3 linked regions of the Canis lupus familiaris genome follow. The protein of the gene in region 2 purifies or fractionates together with the protein of the main gene of each other region. This does not show direct contact. Links are inferred from orthologs where the notes say so. Each region holds a gene or a part of one and is shown on either strand. Other genes may lie near its edges. The genes, in order: TRIM22, NFKBIA and RELB.

Region 1 (6,573 bases), on a different chromosome or scaffold from region 2:
ACAGGGTGTAAAAGCTGACTTTTTAATCAGGATCCCTTCTCTTTAGTCCTCAAGAACTCCCTTTCTTCCAAAACTCAAATCCCAGGATCCCTCATGCATTTCTGAGTTAGTTGAGATAGGGCAGCTTTAGACTGTAAAACCTTGGATCAATCTATAATTTGAAAATTACAGTTACATAGATGACCTGATGTTTTTGAGCTTGTCTAGGAAAAGATAACAAAAAATTCATCTGGAAAATGTGGGAGGGAATCAGAGACCTAAGAGAGTGTAAGAAGGTGGGAAGGTAGGGGGATGGCACTGATGTCCTGGGAACTGCCTCTGAAACATCAGCTTTAAGGTGGGAGAAATCAGTGAAGAAATCAGAGCTTGTCAGTTACCAGGAAACATGGGCTGGTAGGAAATCTGAATGAACCATGCTCTTTCTCCTACCTCCCAAAGTCTACCTTTGGAGCTAACCATATTGCGGTGATCCAAATGCCAGTATACTATGCTCCGAAAGACCAGGGAATAAAAAAATCCTCCTTAGGGCTTTGTGTCTCCCTCCATTTCCTACATCTCCTATTGAGGAGGAATCTACATGAAATATCTCCCACTCTGGGTGAATTTTTTTTTTTTTTCCTTTGGGTGAATTTTAACTCTTTTCAGTCTGAGAAAACCACAAGCCACAGGAAGTAAGGTGGTTAGAATGTGCTGGTATAGAACGATTAAAAAACAGGCACTGAGAGAATTATCTGAGTAAACTTTAGGAGCAAAACAGAGAAGACATGAAAAAATTGTTGGGTAACATTCTTCAAAGGCGTTGATATAAATATTTATGCCAGAATTCACACACACCACAGCACTTATGTTGACTGCAAAAGCAACAGTAGAACCAAACCATGATTATCATCAGTTTGTTCAATGCAATTTAAGTGGTATCTATAGCCATATAAATGTGTGTCTATTTAAATATCATTCCCTGTATGCAACACTTTGCAATATATTTGAAACAAGAAGGAACAACATAGAAAATTTCCCTTTCGGCCTTCATAAAGCTTACTGTTGTTTGGTGCAGGGCTGCAAGGGGAGGAGTAGTTGATGATAGTATTATATGATAGCAAAGGTGATAAAAAATGCTAGCTCTCAGAATGCAATTTGTTTTTTTTTTTTTAATTTTATTTATTTATTCACGAGAGAGAGAGATAAAGAGACAGAGACAGAGACACAGGCAGAGGGAGAAGCAGGCTCCATGCAGGGAGCCCGACATGGGACTCAATCCCGGGTCTCCAGGATCAGGCCCTGGGCCAAAGGCGGCGCTAAACCGCTGAGCCACCCCGGCTGCCCTTTCAGAATGCAATTTATACAAAATGGAGATGATTATAATTGCACGTGAAAAGCATCACAACTTTCTTCATTGTTAGGAAAAACTTACTTCAGTATACTCCTATATGATTTTCCAGTTCCTGCCTCATAGATATAAGAGATTCGAGAAGTTTATAAGCCACAATTACCTTACATGTCTGTGGGTTACAAACAATACCAGAATATCTGTGCTTTACTTCACCAAACATCGACTTCTCAGTTGCCCTGCAGATCTCACATCAGTTCATGTGTGAAGTTTGCCATGCTCTGCAATTCCTTCAGTCAGAGATCTCTGGTAGAGCTGCCACCACCATGAAGTTGCCCGGTCTACAATATGTAATCAGAGCAAGGACAAGATAGATAACACAACACTAAAGTGTGTGCAGGAAATAGAAGATGTTTCACTCCTGCTTTTGATTGATAGTAAAAGAAGGACAAATTTTTCCCAAAGGAAGTGGGGGAAGGTGGAAAAATTATGGAGGTGTGTTACTCAGTAAAAGATTGTGCTTGAATACTATCATGTATTAACTTACATGTTCTCACCTGCCTCCTGGTTGTTGGGTAACAAGGCACTGATTTGGTTCTACTATGATTAATTTCTAGAAGCCTTCCTTTTCTGACCTGCCTGCATAAGAAACAGAAACTGGTAATTCACCGGTATACTACTAAGATTCAATGACATTTTGGAAAAATTTTTCTCCCTAGGCTCACACTGAAGAAACTTTTAAATTTTATTTTTACTATTTACAATAATGGCTGCTGACAGTCATTATGTCTGCTCATATTTACAGAGATTTATAACTGATTATCTTTCCCATCACTGTCTGCATTGCAAGAATTCAGATCCAATCTTTCCGGATCATTATTTTATCCTTCATGACTTGCTTAGGGCTTGAATATAGGATAAGCTCTACAAATAATTATAGGATTAAATTGAAATGCTGAGTATTCAGGCTATATCATTGTGCTTCACTTTTTTTTTTTTTTTTTTTTCTTGCTCAAATATTCTTGCTGGAGTAAGCCAGGGTAGGAATAAGAATGCAGTGATTGGGTGCCTAGCTGGTGCAGGTTCTAGAACATATCCTTCCCTGGCATCCTACTTGGTGCCCTCCCACAGTTATTGTTTTGTAAGTTTCTTCTCTGCTTCTTTTCTTTCATTTCCCCTTCTCAGATTTTAAGTTTCATTTCTCACTCAGTTCCTGTAGGGAAACTCTTTTGTGGAGAGCAGTTTTCTGGCTTGGTGAGTGAATCTTGCCTATACCTGCATCTGATCTCCGCTGAATCAAGACTTCTCTACTTCAACCTAAAGGTGTGTGTGGGGCAGTTTGGGAGGGCAAAGGACAGGACGTTTGGAAGGAACATATTGAATGTGTTTGGATGAGTTTAATTTGTGGTTCTGAAGCTGCTTTAAATTCACCAAAGAGCCAGCTGGTAGGTTTTCTGCAAAAGAGAGGTGCATTGAGTCTGGGGGCACCATGACTGATAAAGAAGGGAGGTTTAACAACATCAAAAGCCTTATTTGTTTCTTGGAGGGATCATTATTTCTCCCAGTTGAATTACTCTCATTTTCTTTCTTCCTTAGTTTTGAATTTTCTACCTTGCCAAGGTGAGCCAGAATAACTTTCCCCCCCCAGAAACAGAAAATCTCTTCCTCTTTTCCTCCAGCAAAGCCCATGGAATGGAGCCCTGTTTTCCCTCTTCATAAAAGCCCAAGCTCCTGCAGAAAGCCAGCACAGACAAGAGTCCTTATCTGGACTTGTGAGAGGGAAAGGGAACTTAAGGGTTGTGCCTGGGAGAAGAAGCTCTTGAAATTCATCCTTTTAATCTTCTTGTCCTGATAACTTCTGGGAAGCTGTCTAGGACCTTTCTGATAAATTACCAGACTTTTGGCCAGCCTGATGAGAGAGGCTGGATGATTAGGCGGCTGTCCATCTTTGCAGCTCCTCCATGGTCACTTGTCTCTCTGGAGCTCCAACCACATGTTTTTTTTTTTTTTTTTTTTTTTTTTTTTTTTTTTTTTTTTTTCTGAGTGTGCATGGCTTACTGCCATCTCAGCAGCACCTGCACAATGCTCTGGTGTTCACTCCTGCTTTACGAGAAGGACAATCATTGTATGGTTTCACTCATACAGGGAATGTAAAAAATAGTGAAAAGGATTATAGGGGAAAGGAGAGAAAATGAGTGGGGAAAAACAGAGAAGTTGACAAAACATGAGAGACTCCTAACTCTGGGAAATGAACAAGGGGTAGTGGAAGGGGAGGTGGGCGAGGGGATGCGGTGACTAGGTGTCAGGCACTGAGGGGGGCACTTGATGGGATGAGCACTGGGTGTTATACTATATGTTGGCAAATCAAGTTCTGATAAAAAAAATATATACATTAAAAAAATGAACTTGTCCTCTATCATCTTAGACACACCTTCCCATTGCTTTCTAGCTCAACCCTTTACTCCATTTTCCCTGCACAGAGCTAAGGAAGGGAGTTGGTAATTTCTCAGAAAGAACTCCATCTTAATCTCTCTGAACACCTTGTAATTTGATCTCCATATTATGTAATATTTTGATGTGTAATTTCCTTTTACTTTTTAGAAGTCATTGGTCTGTGTCTTATATCTAGACAAGGTTTATATATAGTGAATATTAATTGTTTGCTCGGGGGCTAGTACAGGGCCCAATGGATGGGAGAAAGTGAATTAAAAATTTTTTTAAACATTTTAGATTAAATTCACAAGAGCAAAAGTATATAGCTCTGATGAAAAAAATTGTATTAACACTGAACATTCAATAAATACTAAGCATCTGTAAAAGATTATATTCTGGGTGAGTGGAGAGAAAGTAAATAAACAGCAAAAGGATAATTCAATATGAGAAAACATGAAAACAAAGAAACAATAGCACGAATAGACAAAAAGGCCTGCCAAAGGGCCTGGTGTCTATGGTGTGCCCTCCTAAAGGGCTTTAACAATTTAAAATAGATTTCATGGTAGGTATCAGTGTGAGAAGGTGATTTTGAGCTGAGTTTTCATGGAATTGATGGCTTTAAGATGGATTTTTGCCCAGAGTGATCAAGGAACAAATAAGGTAGCCAGTCTAAATCGGGGAGGAGTAGGAGCTGGGCTAAGGGGATGAGGCAATAGGAGGGGATGTATAATGTGAACCTAACTCAACCACCATAAAGACTGACTCAAGTTGAATGATATGTATTTGAGCAGAGAAATGGCAAGATTGATTGATTCTAAAAAAAAAAAAAAAGAGAGAGAATCGTTCTTGCTGGTGGGGTGAACAGTGATGAGAGCAGATTGTATGAGATGAATGACAGTATCAGGGAGACTGGTGGGGAACCTATTCCTGGAATCCAGGTAAGAGATTCAGTTGGATGGGATCTAATTTGAAGAGACAGACAAGGATTAACCTCCTGTCACTTACGGACATGGACTTGTGTGACAAAATGACTGCTTTGAAACAACTGGACCTCAGAGCTCTTGGGGGCAGGGTCATTTATGTGGGGGAAGATTAAACCCTGTACTCTAAAGGGTGGTAGAAGGGGGAGCTCTGGATGTAGAGAAATGCAGAGGAATTATAACACTTCTGAGTTCCCAGGTCTCTGGATGCCAAGAACAAGCCTTACTTTCCAACTGACAATTCCTAATCCAGGGAATAGGGAAAGTATTATAGATATTGTCGAACCCCCTCATAGGACTTTCTCTCCTTATTGTGAAGACACTTTCATTTTTCTTGTCTAAACTGTGCAGACACAGAAAGCCTCTGTGCAGACAATCAGGATATACTGAGAAAAGGAAACTTAGGATCTAGTAGGCCCTTACCCTACCATAGAAAGTCCTACATTTGTACCATCTCCAAAGTGAGCCTACATTTTGTCTCTGTGTCTGTCTGTCTGGTTTAGGTGGAGGGAGTTTCAATGGTGAAACACTTCTTCAATGATAGAATAAAGAATAAATGAATAGAGGAAACAGATGCACTTATATTAGTTTTCTGGGACTGCCATAAAAACACAAATCACAAATCGTTGGCTTAAATGAAATTTATTTTCTCGCAATTCTGGAGCCTAAGAGTACAAGATCAAAGATGTTGGTAGGGTTGGTCTTTCTGCAGGTGGTGATGGAGGATCTGTTCTGGGTTTCTGCTAGTTTCTGGTAGCTTTCTGGCTATCTTTGGTGTTCCCTGGTTTGTAGATGCATCACCCTGATCTCAGCTTTTGTCTTCACATGGCCTTCTCCATGTGTGCATGTCCATCTGTGTCTCCAAATTGCCTCATTTTATGAGGACATAGTCATATTGAATTAAAGCCCATCATAATGACTTCATTTTAACTTGATCATCTGCAAAGATACCATTTCCAAGCGAAGTTACATTTACACATATTAGAGGTTAGGACTTTGACATATTTTTTGTGGAACATAATTCAACCTGCAATAGCACCCAATGTGTTTGAAACAGGACAGACTTTATCTCTCTATCAATGGTCTTTGTTCTATATTGAGTCTTCTCTCCCACAACTGACAGAGAACTCAATGGAATTTATGTTTCTTGAGATCTGTCATGTGTGTGATCCTGAGTATATGAATCTGTTATTTTCCTCCCTAAAAATATAAATGCCCATCTAGTTCTTACAACCTTTACCTCCGTTTGTCTTTGTTAATATCTTTGCAAAGTGCAAAGATAACTCTGAAAGAGGATCCTGTGGATTGTATGTCCACCAACTCTACCCTTTATAAAATAATGATCTCTATAAATAGAATGATCTATACATCATTTGATTCTATTTATACATCTGAGGAAAGGATATACTCCTATTTCTCAAGGATTTTTATATAAGGGGTAAATAGGTCAAAGTCATTTGTAAACTGCAACTGGTTATAAAATTGTTAGTGATACAATTATCTGCCTATTGTGGCCCTTGCTGTTTCTATCTCCCTATTTGGGGAATGAATTTGAGGGCATGGGAAGACTCCGTGTGTGACAGATGTGTTGGGAGGTAAATTTTTCAGCTATTAGAGAACTGCTAATAAGTGGAAAGAAAAAATGAAAAGCTAATGAGAAAGATCTAGTCAATTACAGAAAGATGAGGAGTTCTAACTTTATAAATTCATCACATTTTGTGTTCCTGTGTATGATGTTCCTCTCTAGATACCAAGGAACTGTCAGTGCACGAAACCATGCCTGATCTATCCTTAGATTACTTTTTAGGAGGAAGAATAAGACATTTAAAGAAA
Region 2 (6,573 bases):
TGGACTGGTTTCTTCCCCTTTGAAATACAGGATGTTGTGCAGTAGCTTGCATTTCTCTCTAGCACCATGTGCCTAGCACTCTGCTATGCTGCTTTAGACGTGTGTTATCTTGTACAATCTTTAGAACAGCCCAGTTTATAAATTAAGAAATGAAGGCTCAAAGGTGGGTACCTGCTAATGTTAGTGTGTTCCATTTCTGAGCTCATTCCTTAGGAACTTCCAGTATTATAGTTAAGAACTTTCCCAGTAATATAAAATGTGATTTAAGCATATTTCTCTTCATCAAAATAATTCCCTAAAGTGGAAGAGTCCTGGCATGCTTAAACCAAGATGAAAGCAGATGACAATGGAGGATTCCAGCTGTAGGCCAAGAAGCCCCCCACCCCTACCCCACCCCCACCACCTAAGAATGGTGGTTTCCTATCATCTTGCTAGAGCCTCCTCTCCCACGCATAGGGCCCTGGGGCTGCCGGCGAAGCCTGGCGGGGAGGCTGGCTTACACAGCGTGAGAAGCTGCTCTCTGAAAGGGCTTTGTAGCTAGCTGTGGTAAGCACTCCCACACAGCTCTACACCTCCCCAGAGGATCGGATGACTCTCAGGTTGGGAGCCCCATGGCAGCCCAAAGAGAATGATCACGATAATTCTGTTTGTAAAAATCTGTTTAATAAATACATGTCTTAGAAGTACCAAAATAATTACCAACAAAATACACAATGTACATCATTTACAGGGGGGTAAACACAAACCTTGACAGGTAGTGACTTTTAACCCCACACCGCCCCCCCCCCCCAAGGTTTAATGACACACCAGGTCATTACACCTGGTTGTCACGCATCCCACACTGGGCACAGCCACTGAATCTATGGTGATTCAATCAAAAAGCACAATGCGATGTAGTCCTTTTGTCACATTTTGCATAACCTCCTTCAGAAACCCCACAAAGGCAACTTCTGAACAAGGTTTTCTTTGAATTCCATTGATCTTGTCCTCCTTCCAAAGTTCACAAAAAATAACAAGGGCTGATCCACCATAGTAAATGTTTCTGGCTAGGGAATGTGAAGTGTGGTTTTAAGTACCCCCTTTTGATTTTTTTCTTTTTTTTTCTTTTTTTTAGAAAAATAAAACTCTCTTTTTGTACAAATATACAAGTCCGTGTTCTTTTAGATATGTTTTGAAGCTCATAACGTCAAGCGCTGGCCTCCAAGCACACAGTCATCATAGGGCAGCTAAAAACAAGAGAAAAAAAAGCCATGTTAAGCTTCCAGTTTTGTCAAAGGTACTGGGATAAGGGTGAGGGCCATTATCAAGTACTCTTGGATTCCATTCTCCATAACCCAAGTATAAATTAACCTCAGGGGCTAAGGAAGTTTTTCTTTAATGCTCCTCTCCTTTAAAAAGAGCAAAAAACAAAGACACACTTTTGGGAGACTCCTGGTCATGAACACTAAAGTGGGAGAACTTCATTGCATTGAGCTCTTTGGATAAAGAGGAGCTCTAGAGACCTGGGAGGGTACTGCTTTGTGCAGAGCGATGGAGTTGACACTCACCTCGTCCTCTGTGAACTCTGACTCTGTGTCATAGCTCTCCTCATCCTCACTCTCTGGCAGCATCTGAAGGTTTTCTAGGGTCAGCTGGCCCAGCTGCTGCTGTATCCGTGTGCTTGGGCGGCCCCACGTGAGCTGGTACGGGGAGTAGCCCTGGTAGGTAACTCTGTTGACATCAGCCCCACACTTCAACAAAAGCGACACAAGGTCAGAATTCTGCAGGTCCACTGCAAGATGGAGGGCGGTTCGGCCATTACAGGGCTCCTGAAACCAAAAGGAATTTGAGATGTTTATGGTTGAGTTTGGAATTTCTACTTGCAACAAGAACATGTGAGGTCTTATTGAGGAGGGCCTGGAGCCCTGATGCGTTCCATCTGGAGACATGAAGAACTCACCTGAGCATTGACATCAGCACCCAAAGACACCAGAAGCTCCACAATGCCCAAATAGCCATGGATAGAAGCTAAATGTAGACATGTGTGACCTAGAAGAACAATGAAGCAAATATAACCACTTGCTTCAACCCTCAGATCTCAAGCAGAACTTTCTGTCTATTCTTATAGGGAATAAATTCTGAATTTGGAGAACCCAGAATCTGGGCTCTGAATGAACTTTATCAAGGCATGAAACAGACCTTTTGCATGCATATTTTCTCAACCTTTCAAGTATTCAGAGTTTCAGCTCTTGCCTGGACTCCTAACATTGGCCTACCTCTCCCTTCTCCATGTCACCTGCCTTCTGATGGGCAGGGTAGGGCAGGCAGACATACCATTGTAGTTGGTGGCCTGGAGGATGGAGTAGAGGTGCTGGGTCCTGCAAGTCTGAGTCAGGACTCCCACGCTGGCCAGGCAGCCTTGCTCACAGGCAAGGTGTAGGGGGGTATTTCCTCGAAAGTCTCGGAGCTCAGGATCACAGCCAGCTTCCAGAAGTGCCTCAGCAATTTCTGGTTGGTTGGTGATCACAGCCAAGTGGAGTGGAGTCTACAAACACAAGAGGGAATAGAAAGAGGGTAAGCCATGGCCCAAACTCAAGAGTCTGTCTTCCCTTGAACTCCGGAGATCTACTGGTTGTGGGTGCTGCTCCTCCTCCCAGACAGGTATGAAGGGCAAGATAAATGCCAGAGGCCGCAGGTGGGCTTTCATCATAGGCCTCACCAAATCAATAGAATTTTCTTTATTCTCTAGGACGTTGGCCGATTCCAATGTAAAAAGGTCAAGGTACATAATGCCCAGTGATTATTAATTTAGAAAGGATTGGGAGCAACTGAGCTAGATCCAACTTCATCACTGGGTCAGAGGCACAGGGCTGGGCGAGCCGGCGCACCTGCTGCAGGTTGTTCTGGAAGTTGAGGAAGGCCAGGTCGCCCTTCACTTGGCGGACCACTTCCATGGTCAGGGCCTTCTCTTCATGGATGATGGCCAAGTGCAGGAACCTAAGGGGAAGAGAGGGAAAAACCCCCAGGGCTGGTGAGTGCATCGCGTGGGGCCCAGGGAGGCGCGGGCTGCGGGGGATTGCGCAAGGCCGGGGTTTCTGGAGGCCGAGGCCGCGGTGTTTTCCGCGAGGTTATTATGAGCTGAGTGTTCCTGGCAGGCGCCCAGGGACTTTCCGGGCCCCCTCCCTCCTCGGCGGGCGCCGGCCAGACCGCCCCGCCCTCCCGCCGGGCCGGAACGCCCTGTACTTCCCCTCCCGGCCCCCCGGCGCCCGCCCGCGGGGCAGGAGCTCCCGCCCCCCTTGTGCAAGCGGGGACTTCGCGTCCCCGCCGCCGCCCCGCCCCCGCCGGCAGGACCGGCTCCGGACCGGGGCTGGGGGGTGGGGGTGCGCGCTGCAGCGCAGGGCTGCTGCACCGCCAGCCCGGGATCCGACCCTCCTCTGCTGCCCGCAGCGCAGCCGGCAGCTTTGCGCGGTCCCGGGGCCAGGGGTGTACGGGGGATCGGTGCCCACACCCCGGTCGGCTGCCGCCCCTCGGCCTCGCGCTGCAGGCGCGGCGTCCCCGCCCGCCCCGAGACACCTACGAGTCTCCGTCCTCGGTGAGCTGCTGCTTCCAGGGCTCGGCGCCGCGCGGCGCCTCCTGCGGCTCGAGACGGATCTCCCGCAGCTCCTTCACCAGCTGCTCGTACTCCTCGTCCTTCATGGAGTCCAGGCCGCTGTCGTGGCGGTCGTCCAGCAGCCGCTCCTTCTTGAGCGCGTCCCGGGGACCCTCCATGGCCCAGTCCTGGGCGTGCTCGGCTTGCTGCAGCATGGCGCGGGAAGGCTCGGCGCTGCTGCCCAGGTGCGCTCGGCCGCGGGCTGCGCGCTCGCCGCCTCGCCTCGCCTCGCCTCGCAGGGTCACGGACGCAGGACCGCTGGCTGCGACTCTTGTGGGCTCGCCAGCGCCGCCGCGGCGCCCTATAAACGCTGGCAGGGGATTTCTCCGGGGCGGGGTCAGGCGCGGGGAATTTCCAAGCCAGTCAGACCAGAAAAGAGAACTGGCCCCGTCCTCTGCTCGGGAGGGGGAGGAAGGGGGAGAAGCCTAAACCCTGAGCCGGGTTCATCAGAGAAACTCCCGGCGATGAGCCACTGGGGTCATGTACAGGGAACTTTTTGATGAACGCTGAGCGGCTGGAAAGTCCTCCCGACCGAGGCCCCCTCCCCCGGTACTTCCCTGCAGCTTGCACTCGGTAATCCTGTCCCTCTGCAAGCGGCCTTCTTTCCCTGGGGTTTCCCACGATCGATTCGACTTGGGGTCGTCGGCTGCTGAGATCCCAATGAACGCAGACCCGCCAGGCAGTTCCTCCTTGGGGTTTGCCAACCTTTCCGTTTCTTGATCTTTTGAAAACTCGGGTGGAAATGATGGCTGGACGTAGGGATTTGCTTCCCCAAACTTCTGCGGGGAAGGACGCACTGGCGGGTTAGAAGGTCGCCGGCTGCCTCTGCCACCCTGCCAATGCCAGGCTCTTTGTGGCGCGGGGACACACGTAGCACTCCCTCGAGGCCCCCCCCCCCCCCCAACCAGGTAAAAGTTGTGCATGCTTTGGCATTAAAAGCCAAAAAGCTTTTGGCATTTTTTGGCATTGAAATGCTTGGAGAACCCTCAAATCATTTCCTCGGGATTAACATTCCTGTTGACTGGTGGAGAGGCAAGCACTCTGCCCTGTGTTCAGCGAAAACGCTGAACAGGACCATACTTTTTTTCAGGTAAAGCAAGGTGTTAATCTTTGTAGTAGAGGTTGTAGCTAGCTGCCCTGCACGAACAAAATAATTATTGAGGTCATGTTTCCTGATTTGCACTGTGCTGCTGCAGAGCCTACTTCTGGGTACCCAGCCGGTGTCTTTCCAGAAGCATTTGGAAGAGGCTGAAGAATAGGTTGAGAAGTGCCTTACCCAAGATTGGGCCTTAAGGATGGTTTAGATTGCAAAGCATCCTACAGAAGGCCACCCTCCCGCCAACCTAACATTACCCTCTTGCTGGCTCCCTGCTCTCCTGCCCTGGAGAGGGCAGCAGTTGGACCTCTCCAGGCGCTGTGTATAGCCCCTATGGGCTCCTCATCCTTTGGTTTCACCTGCAGAAATATAACTTACGTTCCCCACCCTACCCCCATTCTCCTAGCCAACCAGCCTCTAACAGAATTTTTCTATCTCTAGAATTGGTCCAGGCAAAATGAAGCAACTCAGGTCAGAGTTTTTCAGAACTAGCTCCAGGAGGCTTTATAATTTTGCAGAAATTTCTGGTGATTATATTGCAATCATCTTAACTTGACTGGCCATATACTAACCAACCCTTTGCTCATCTCTTCTCCCTCCACTCCTCCCGACTATCTGAATTTAGGGAACCGGGGTCGGGGGAGTGAGATAAAAAAAATATAAGGGGGGATAAAAGCCCTAAAATCAAGAAATAAAACCTTCAGGATAGGGACGCCCGGGTGGCTCAGCTGTTGGATGCCTGCCTTCAGCTCAGGTCGTGATCCCGGGATCTGGGATCGAGTCCCACATCAGGCTCCTTGCAAGGAGCCTGCTTCTCCCTCTGTCTGTGTCTCTGCCTCTCCCTCTCAGTCTGTGTCTCTCATGAATAAATAATCTTAAAAACAACAACAACAACCTTCAGGATAGTAATGATCACATGTTATAATGAAAACTTCCAAAGATAGACTCCATTGTCTCTGCAGGCATATAATATACAAACTATACAATTATTGAGGCAGGGCACAACAGCTATAAATAAATCTCAATTGCAGGCTCTACCTCTAATTAATTACATATTAATTTGGAGAGATCAGTTAACTTTGCTGTGGTGTACCGGCTTTTATAATAACATTGGATTTAACGTCATTTAAGGTTTCTCTCCAGCTTAAAAATTTTATTACTTGTCCACAGATACATAATAACTGCCTCAGGGTGACCATGTCTCTTAGAAATATCACAGTATGTTTTTAGAAGGATTCCCAACACTTACTGCAATACACTGTTAGTTCTCAGAACTCCTCTTGTTAGGTATAGTTCCTACTTTCCCCAAAAGAGACTGAAATGCAAAGAAATTTACCGAGGCACCCGATGGCAGTTTATCTAATTTCTATTCCAACGTATCAATCATTGGGCCAAAGCAGTTGTAGTATTAACACTTTTGAAAACACATCGTAGAAATGAGGCTGAATGCACTGTAATCTTTGAAGACGATACTCAAAATATTTTCTACTCCAAGCATTAGGTAAAATAGAGGGTTGATGTTCCCCTATCTGGGAATATTCGTGTCTGGGGGGGGGGGAGAAGAAGAAAGAAGGAAAAGTTGTATTTTAAAGGCCCCACTTATCTACCTTAGAAGAGGATTTTTAGCTGCAGGTTTAAAAATGACCATTAAGAAAGAAAATCATGCATGAATAAAAATATCTATTTCAATAGCTTTTTTCCTTTTTTTGCTTCAGGTTCCTGATGGGTCTTTATTCCTCATTGTGTAGTGTGACACCTAGTGGTAAGAGTCAGGCCCAGGCATTTCCTGATTTGTCATGAGGCTTTTGGAAATTTTGGGAGGCGCTGAGAGGCTTGATGACCTGTCCCT
Region 3 (6,248 bases), on a different chromosome or scaffold from region 2:
ATATGTCCAGGTCAGGGAGGTTCTTATAAAATTTTGAGTGAATGAGCAAATGGAGATGGATGGCTCTTTTGTGCTGGGCCCTAGTGCTAGGCAGTGCTGGGACACAGCAGTGACAGACACAGGCCCCAGCTTTGCTCTCCAGGGCTGCCAGTTCAGTGGTGGTGGTGGGGAGGTTAGGGAAAGAAACACAAATTACAATTGTGAGTTATGCTGAGAAGGAAGAAGACAAAGCATTAGAACTGGGTGAGAGCACTAAAACAACAAGAAGACCAGACACGGTCTGGCCACCTTGGAAGGCTTCCCAGAGGAAGTGATATTTGAGCCAAGATCTGAGGAATGCCACAGAGATTGTTAGGGTCCTGGGAGTTGGGGCCAGAGCAGGGAAACTGGTCCAGGTGTGTGCAAATAACTAGAGGCAGATGTCAGTCTTGTTCTATTGTTCGTTCACTGGCCGGTCTCGGACTGGTGGCTTCACTACCCTGAGCTTCTGCTTCCTTATCCCTCAAATGAGTTGGTGTTAGGTTGAGACAGGCTCTCAATTACCCAAGAACTACACTATAAAGAGTTAGCATTTACTGAGAATTTCTGAGTGCCAGGCCTGAAGCTAGTACTTTGTGTAATGCTAATAAAAGTAATCATACCTGGGGTACCTGGGTAGCTCAGTTGGTTAAGCATCTGCCTTTGGCTCAGGTCATGATCCAAGGGTCCTGGGGTTAAGCCCTACATCAGGCTCTTTGCTCAGCAGGGAGCTTGCTTTTCCCTCTCCCTCTGCTTGCAGCTCCCCCTGCTTGTACTCTCTCTCTCTCTCTCTGTCAAATAAATAAAATCTTTTAAAAAAAGTAATCATACTTAACGTGGACTGAGCACCTTTACTTGGAGTGATTCAACTAATCCTCCAAGCAACCATGTGAAGTAGGTACTCTGATTTTGCTTCTGCTTAGGTGAGGAAACTAGGCCCAGAGATATCAGGTAACTTCCCCAAACCCTTGGGAGATGGTGGTGAAGAGCTCTAGCCCACTTGGATTCCCATCTTGCCTCTACCACTTGTTGGCTTTGTGACCTCGGACAAGTGACTTCACCCTTTCCGTGCCTTTGCTCCCTCTATATAATGGGTTTCCTCAAGGTACTTTTTTTTCATAAGATTGCTGTGTGACTTAGAGGCAATCTCTGTGTGTCTAGACAAATATAAAGCCTCAGTAGATGGAATTAGTGTGAAAAGAGGCAATGCAATAAGATAAGAAAAAGAAATAATGGGCAGTATAGCATACTGGATCCTGACTATCCTGCTACCAGCTGTGTGACCTTGGGTAAGTCTCTTTACCCTTCGAAGCCTCAGTTTCCCCATATTTAAAGGGGGTATGTAAAAGAGTTAACATAGAAGGTCTGAGACTGTTATCCTTTGAAAGGCCTGTGTGCAAGGTTGATGCTTGGCTGGTTATTGGGAGCTTGGATAATGAGAGGGGCTCACTGTGCTTTAACTATATGAACAAGGTGGTTTGTGCTGAACACCTGCTTTGCTTCTGGGAGTCTGAAATTTTGATATAGGCCAGGCAGAGGGTGCCTATGTAACCAGCCCCCAATAAAAACCCTGTGTACTGAATCTCCAGTGAGCTTCCCTGATAGACAGCATTTCACATGTGTTGTCACAGTTTGTTAATGGGGTGGGGAAGGGATTAACATGTTCTCTGTTTCCACTGGGAAAAGACTCCTGGAAACTTGTGACTGGTTTTCTCTGGACTTCACTCCAGGCATCTTTTCCCTTTACTGAGGATGCTAGGTATCTTTTTGCAGTAATAAATCATGCATGAGTACAATTATAGGCTGAGTCCTGTGTGTCCCCTTAATGAATCACTGAATCTGATGGTGGTCTAGGGGGACTTCTGACATGGTGGCGATATTAATTCTGTCTGTCTCTCATGTTGCTAAAAGGATTAAATAAGATAATATATTAAAAATATGTAAAACACTTAGTGGCTGGCACACAGTAGGTGCTCAACAGAAGGTTAACTGCTGCTATGATTAGTTTTATTCTTTTTTCTTAAGATTTGTTTTTTTTAAGATTCTATTTATGTATTCATGAACTACACAGAGAGAAGCAGAGATATAGGCAGAGGGAGAAGCAGGTTCCTCAAGGGATCCCAATGTGGGACTTGATCCCGGGACTCTAGGACCACACTCTAAGCCATAGACAGACACTCAACCATTGAGCCACCCAGGTGTCCCAGATTTATTTATTTGAGAGAGAAAGAGTATGTATGAGCAGGGGAGGGACAGAGGGAGAGAATCTTAGGCAGATTCCTCACTTCCTTAGCCCCCCTCCCAATATGGGGCTTAGTCTCACGAACCTGAGATCATGACCTGAGCCAAAACCAAGAGTTGGACGCTCAACCAACTGAGCCCCTCAGGTGCCTCTATAATTAATTTTATTCTTAAGGATATCAATATTGGGGGCACCTGGCTGGTTCAGTTGGTAGAGTATGGGAATCTTGAGCTCAGAGTTGTGAGTTCAAGCCCCATGTTGTGTGTGAAGCTCATTTAAATCAAATGGATGTAATAAAAAAAAAAAACAAATGGATGTAATAAAACTTAACATATATATATACATATACACACACACACATATTTTTAAAAGAATATCAATGTTGGGATCCCTGGGTGGCGCAGCGGTTTAGCGCCTGCCTTTGGCCCAGGGCGCGATCCTGGAGACCCGGGATCGAATCCCATGTCGGGCTCCCGGTGCGTGGAGCCTGCTTCTCCCTCTACCTGTGTCTCTGCCTCTCTCTCTCTCTCTCTGTGACTATCATAAATAAATAAAAATTAAATAATAAAAAAAAAGAATATCAATGTTGATTTGGGGGAAGGCTGAATGAGTTGGGGGCCCGGTGGGCCAGTGCCCTGGCTCAGCTGACGTCCCCACTTTCCCGCCAGAGGATATATCGGTGGTGTTTAGCAGGGCCTCCTGGGAAGGCCGGGCTGACTTCTCCCAGGCCGATGTGCACCGCCAGATTGCCATTGTTTTCAAGACACCACCCTATGAGGACCTGGAAATCGTTGAGCCTGTGACCGTGAACGTCTTCCTGCAGCGGCTTACTGACGGGGTCTGCAGCGAGCCTCTGCCCTTCACGTACCTGCCTCGGGACCATGGTAACCACGGCAACCCAGGGTGACCCATTGCCCAGAGACCAGGTGTCTGGCCTAGAGGGGACAAGGGAAGAGGCAGAAGTAAAATGCAGGCTCTTGACTGCACAGGCTGGGTTCAGTTCCTGGCTCTACCTCTTACTGGTTGTGTGACCTTAGCCTCTCTCTGACCCTGTCTCCTGTGTAAAATGGAAGTAACAGTACATAGCTGATGGCATTTGGGGAATATTTGATTATTTCTCCCCTCAGCTTGCCTCCTCATGCCTGGCCCTGTACTGAGTGGTGCTGAGGACACAGCAGTGACCAAGATAGCCCCAGCCCTGCTCTCATAAGTCTCACAGTCCTATTGTGGGGATAGATTTGCTCGGAGGACTCAGATTGCTCAGAGTGGGCATCTGGTCCAGGCTTGGGGATTAGGAAGGGCTTCCTGGAGGAGGGGATGACTTAGTTGAGGACATGGGGATGACTAGGCAGTTGTCCAGGGAAGTGGTGGGAGTTGGAAAATAGTGTTTCAAATAGCTAGAATAGCAAGTGCAAAGGTCCTGAGGCAGGATTGTGCCTGGGATGTTCCAGGAACAACAAAGAGGCCAGTGTGGCTTGAAGTGAATTTGGGTTTCATTCTGATTGAGATGCGGACATCTATTTGCATTAGTTGGTCAAGAATTAGAACAGGTCAATGACTTCCTAAATGGTCTCTATAATTAATTCTTAATTATTATTATTGATGGATAATGTTGCCCCTGGTATCTCCTGAACAGACAGCTATGGCGTGGACAAGAAGCGGAAACGGGGGATGCCTGATGTCCTCGGGGAGCTGAACAGCTCTGGTGTGTCCCCTCTGCCCCTTTCCACATCCTGGGAGGGGATGGCTAAGCCCTAGCCTGGGGAGGAGGGGCTGTGAGGGTCCAGGGGTCCTCATCTCTGCCTTCCTTCAGATCCGCATGGCATCGAGAGCAAACGACGGAGGAAAAAGCCAGCCTTCCTGGATCACTTCCTGCCCAACTCCAGCTCAGGTGGGTTGTGGTTCCCCACTTAGGGCAAGCCCCTGCTCTCTGAAGTGGGATGAGGGTGAGCTGCAGCCCTGCTTCTGGCCTCTTCAGCAACCCCCCCCCCCCGCCCTCCCGCCAAGAGGTCCCACAAGGCCAGGAACTCACATCTCAGGCAGCAGCATGAAGTACATGAAGTAGAAAGTACAGTTCTGGATACCATTTGGAGGAGGCTCGATGTCTCCTGGGCCATTCACTTGCTGTGTGACCCTCACCAAGTTGCTCGACCTCTCAGGGCCTCAGAGACTCCTCTGAAAAGTTTCACCATACACCTCCCTCATTGGCCTTTTAGATTTTTTTTTAAAGATTTTATTTTATTGGGGATCCCTGGGTGGCGCAGCGGTTTGGCGCCTGCCTTTGGCCCAGGGCGCGATCCTGGAGACCTGGGATCGAATCCCACATCAGGCTCCCAGTGCATGGAGCCTGCTTCTCCCTCTGCCTGTGTCTCTGCCTCTCTCTCTCTCTGTGACTATCATAAATAAATAAAAATTTAAAAAAAAAAGATTTTATTTTATTATTCATGAGAGACACAGAGAGAGAGGCAGAAACACAGGCAGAGGGAGATGCAGGCTCCATGCAGGTAGCCTGACGTGGGATTCGATCCGAGGTCTCCAGGATCAGGCCCTGGGCTGAAGATGGCACCAAACTGCTGAACCACCCTGGCTGCCTGGCCTTTTAGATTTTATTGCATTTCTTTTTATAGACACTATATAATGGGTACATAGGTGCTTTGTGTATGTTTACTCATTGAATCTATACCATCACATCACTTCCCCCCTCATTTTACTGATAAAGAAACTGAGGCCCGGGAAGCTGAAGTCTCTTAGCCAAGGTCACATACTGCATTTGCGGTGGAGCAGGGACTTGAACCTGGGCATCTATACAGGTAGATTAGTGATACAATATTATGTGGAACAGATAGCAGGGGGTAAATGGTAGATAAATGGGAGGGGTTGTCAGAGCCAACCAGCCTTAATTCAGAGCCTGTCTCTAGCCCAAACACCCTCTGGCCTGTTCTACCCCTGCTTTCATCTTAACTCATATGCCAGCCTCTGCTTCCCATGAACTGCAGCCTTATCTGGCTGCCATCAGAAGCCTCCCCAGCCGCTGACCACTAGCTCTAACAGTGCTGTCCCCTAATACCCCAGCTACCCCAGGGCACCCAGCTCCCAGCCAGCCACCAACAGCCAGCCACTCAGAGTCTGCTGAGCCTGGATCACTCCAACCAGTCCCACTGTGGAGGTTTCAAGTATCACCTGTTGTTCCCCCTACCCACTGCACCTGGTAACTAATGCCCAGAGCTCTACCTATAGCAACAACCAATCCTAGCCCACTTCACCAGTCTTCAATCCCCAAGTCCCAAAGCGTCTCCTCTTTAGCCACTGCTGTTCATCTACGTCCTCCATCACCCGTTTCCCAATGCCTAAAGCCCTCCTCTCTCATCCATGGGGCAAAGCTGCTCTGGCATGATAGTATAATGGTTAGGAGCATGGCCTCTGGAATCAGACTGAGTTTGGATTCTGAAGCCTGAATTTAGCCATGTGACTTCTTTGGATCTCATCTGTCAGATGGAAATCTTACCTCTTAGGGTCCTTTTTAGAATCTAGTCAGGTCATATCACACAGATAGTTAGCATAGTTAGTGCTCAGGAGATCTTAGGAACTTGCTGGACAGGAATGCCAGGAATGCATTTGTTATGATCATGTTTAGCTGTATTCACAACAAAACCCAAATTAACAGGGGCTTCAACAGGCTATATTTCTCTTCTCAGATAAACAGTGGTAGATAGTCCTGGGATGGTGTGGAGGCTGTAGGATCATCAGAGACCCAACCAAGCTCCTGCCATTTTCAACTCATTTTCCATCTCATGGTCCAATATGGCTGCTGAGGCTCCAGCCATCACACCCATAGTCCAGCCAGGAGAACTTAAGTCACATGATGACATTTAGCTGTAAGGGAGGCTGGGAAATAGAGTCCCAGCAGCCCTGAGTCTTTCTGAGATAAGCATAATTTGCCTTTGCTGGTCAGGTTTGTCTTGTCTCAGAAAGAGACTCTCCTTTATAA

What was found.
Region 1: the proteins of NFKBIA (region 2) and TRIM22 purify together in Homo sapiens (affinity purification with western blotting; 3 studies listed by BioGRID). This does not show direct contact. The link is inferred for Canis lupus familiaris from reciprocal best matches to the Homo sapiens genes NFKBIA and TRIM22.
Region 3: the proteins of NFKBIA (region 2) and RELB purify together in Homo sapiens (affinity purification with mass spectrometry; 4 studies listed by BioGRID and IntAct, counting the BioPlex papers as one, with this or other methods). This does not show direct contact. The link is inferred for Canis lupus familiaris from reciprocal best matches to the Homo sapiens genes NFKBIA and RELB.

What each region holds. Positions count from the first base shown.
Region 1 is NC_049242.1:29,153,467-29,160,039, forward strand, and holds the start of TRIM22 (E3 ubiquitin-protein ligase TRIM22), read left to right. Parts: upstream 1-2,447; 5' UTR 2,448-2,650; intron 2,651-6,573. UniProt on the Homo sapiens protein: Interferon-induced E3 ubiquitin ligase that plays important roles in innate and adaptive immunity.
Region 2 is NC_049229.1:14,261,973-14,268,545, forward strand, and holds NFKBIA (NF-kappa-B inhibitor alpha), read right to left. Parts: upstream 3,912-6,573; 5' UTR 3,784-3,911; coding exon 3,557-3,783; intron 2,977-3,556; coding exon 2,868-2,976; intron 2,525-2,867; coding exon 2,314-2,524; intron 2,029-2,313; coding exon 1,940-2,028; intron 1,809-1,939; coding exon 1,548-1,808; intron 1,227-1,547; coding exon 1,179-1,226; 3' UTR 642-1,178; downstream 1-641. UniProt on the Homo sapiens protein: Inhibits the activity of dimeric NF-kappa-B/REL complexes by trapping REL (RELA/p65 and NFKB1/p50) dimers in the cytoplasm by masking their nuclear localization signals.
Region 3 is NC_049222.1:111,147,054-111,153,301, reverse strand, and holds part of RELB (transcription factor RelB), read left to right. Parts: intron 1-2,928; coding exon 2,929-3,144; intron 3,145-3,896; coding exon 3,897-3,965; intron 3,966-4,073; coding exon 4,074-4,151; intron 4,152-6,248.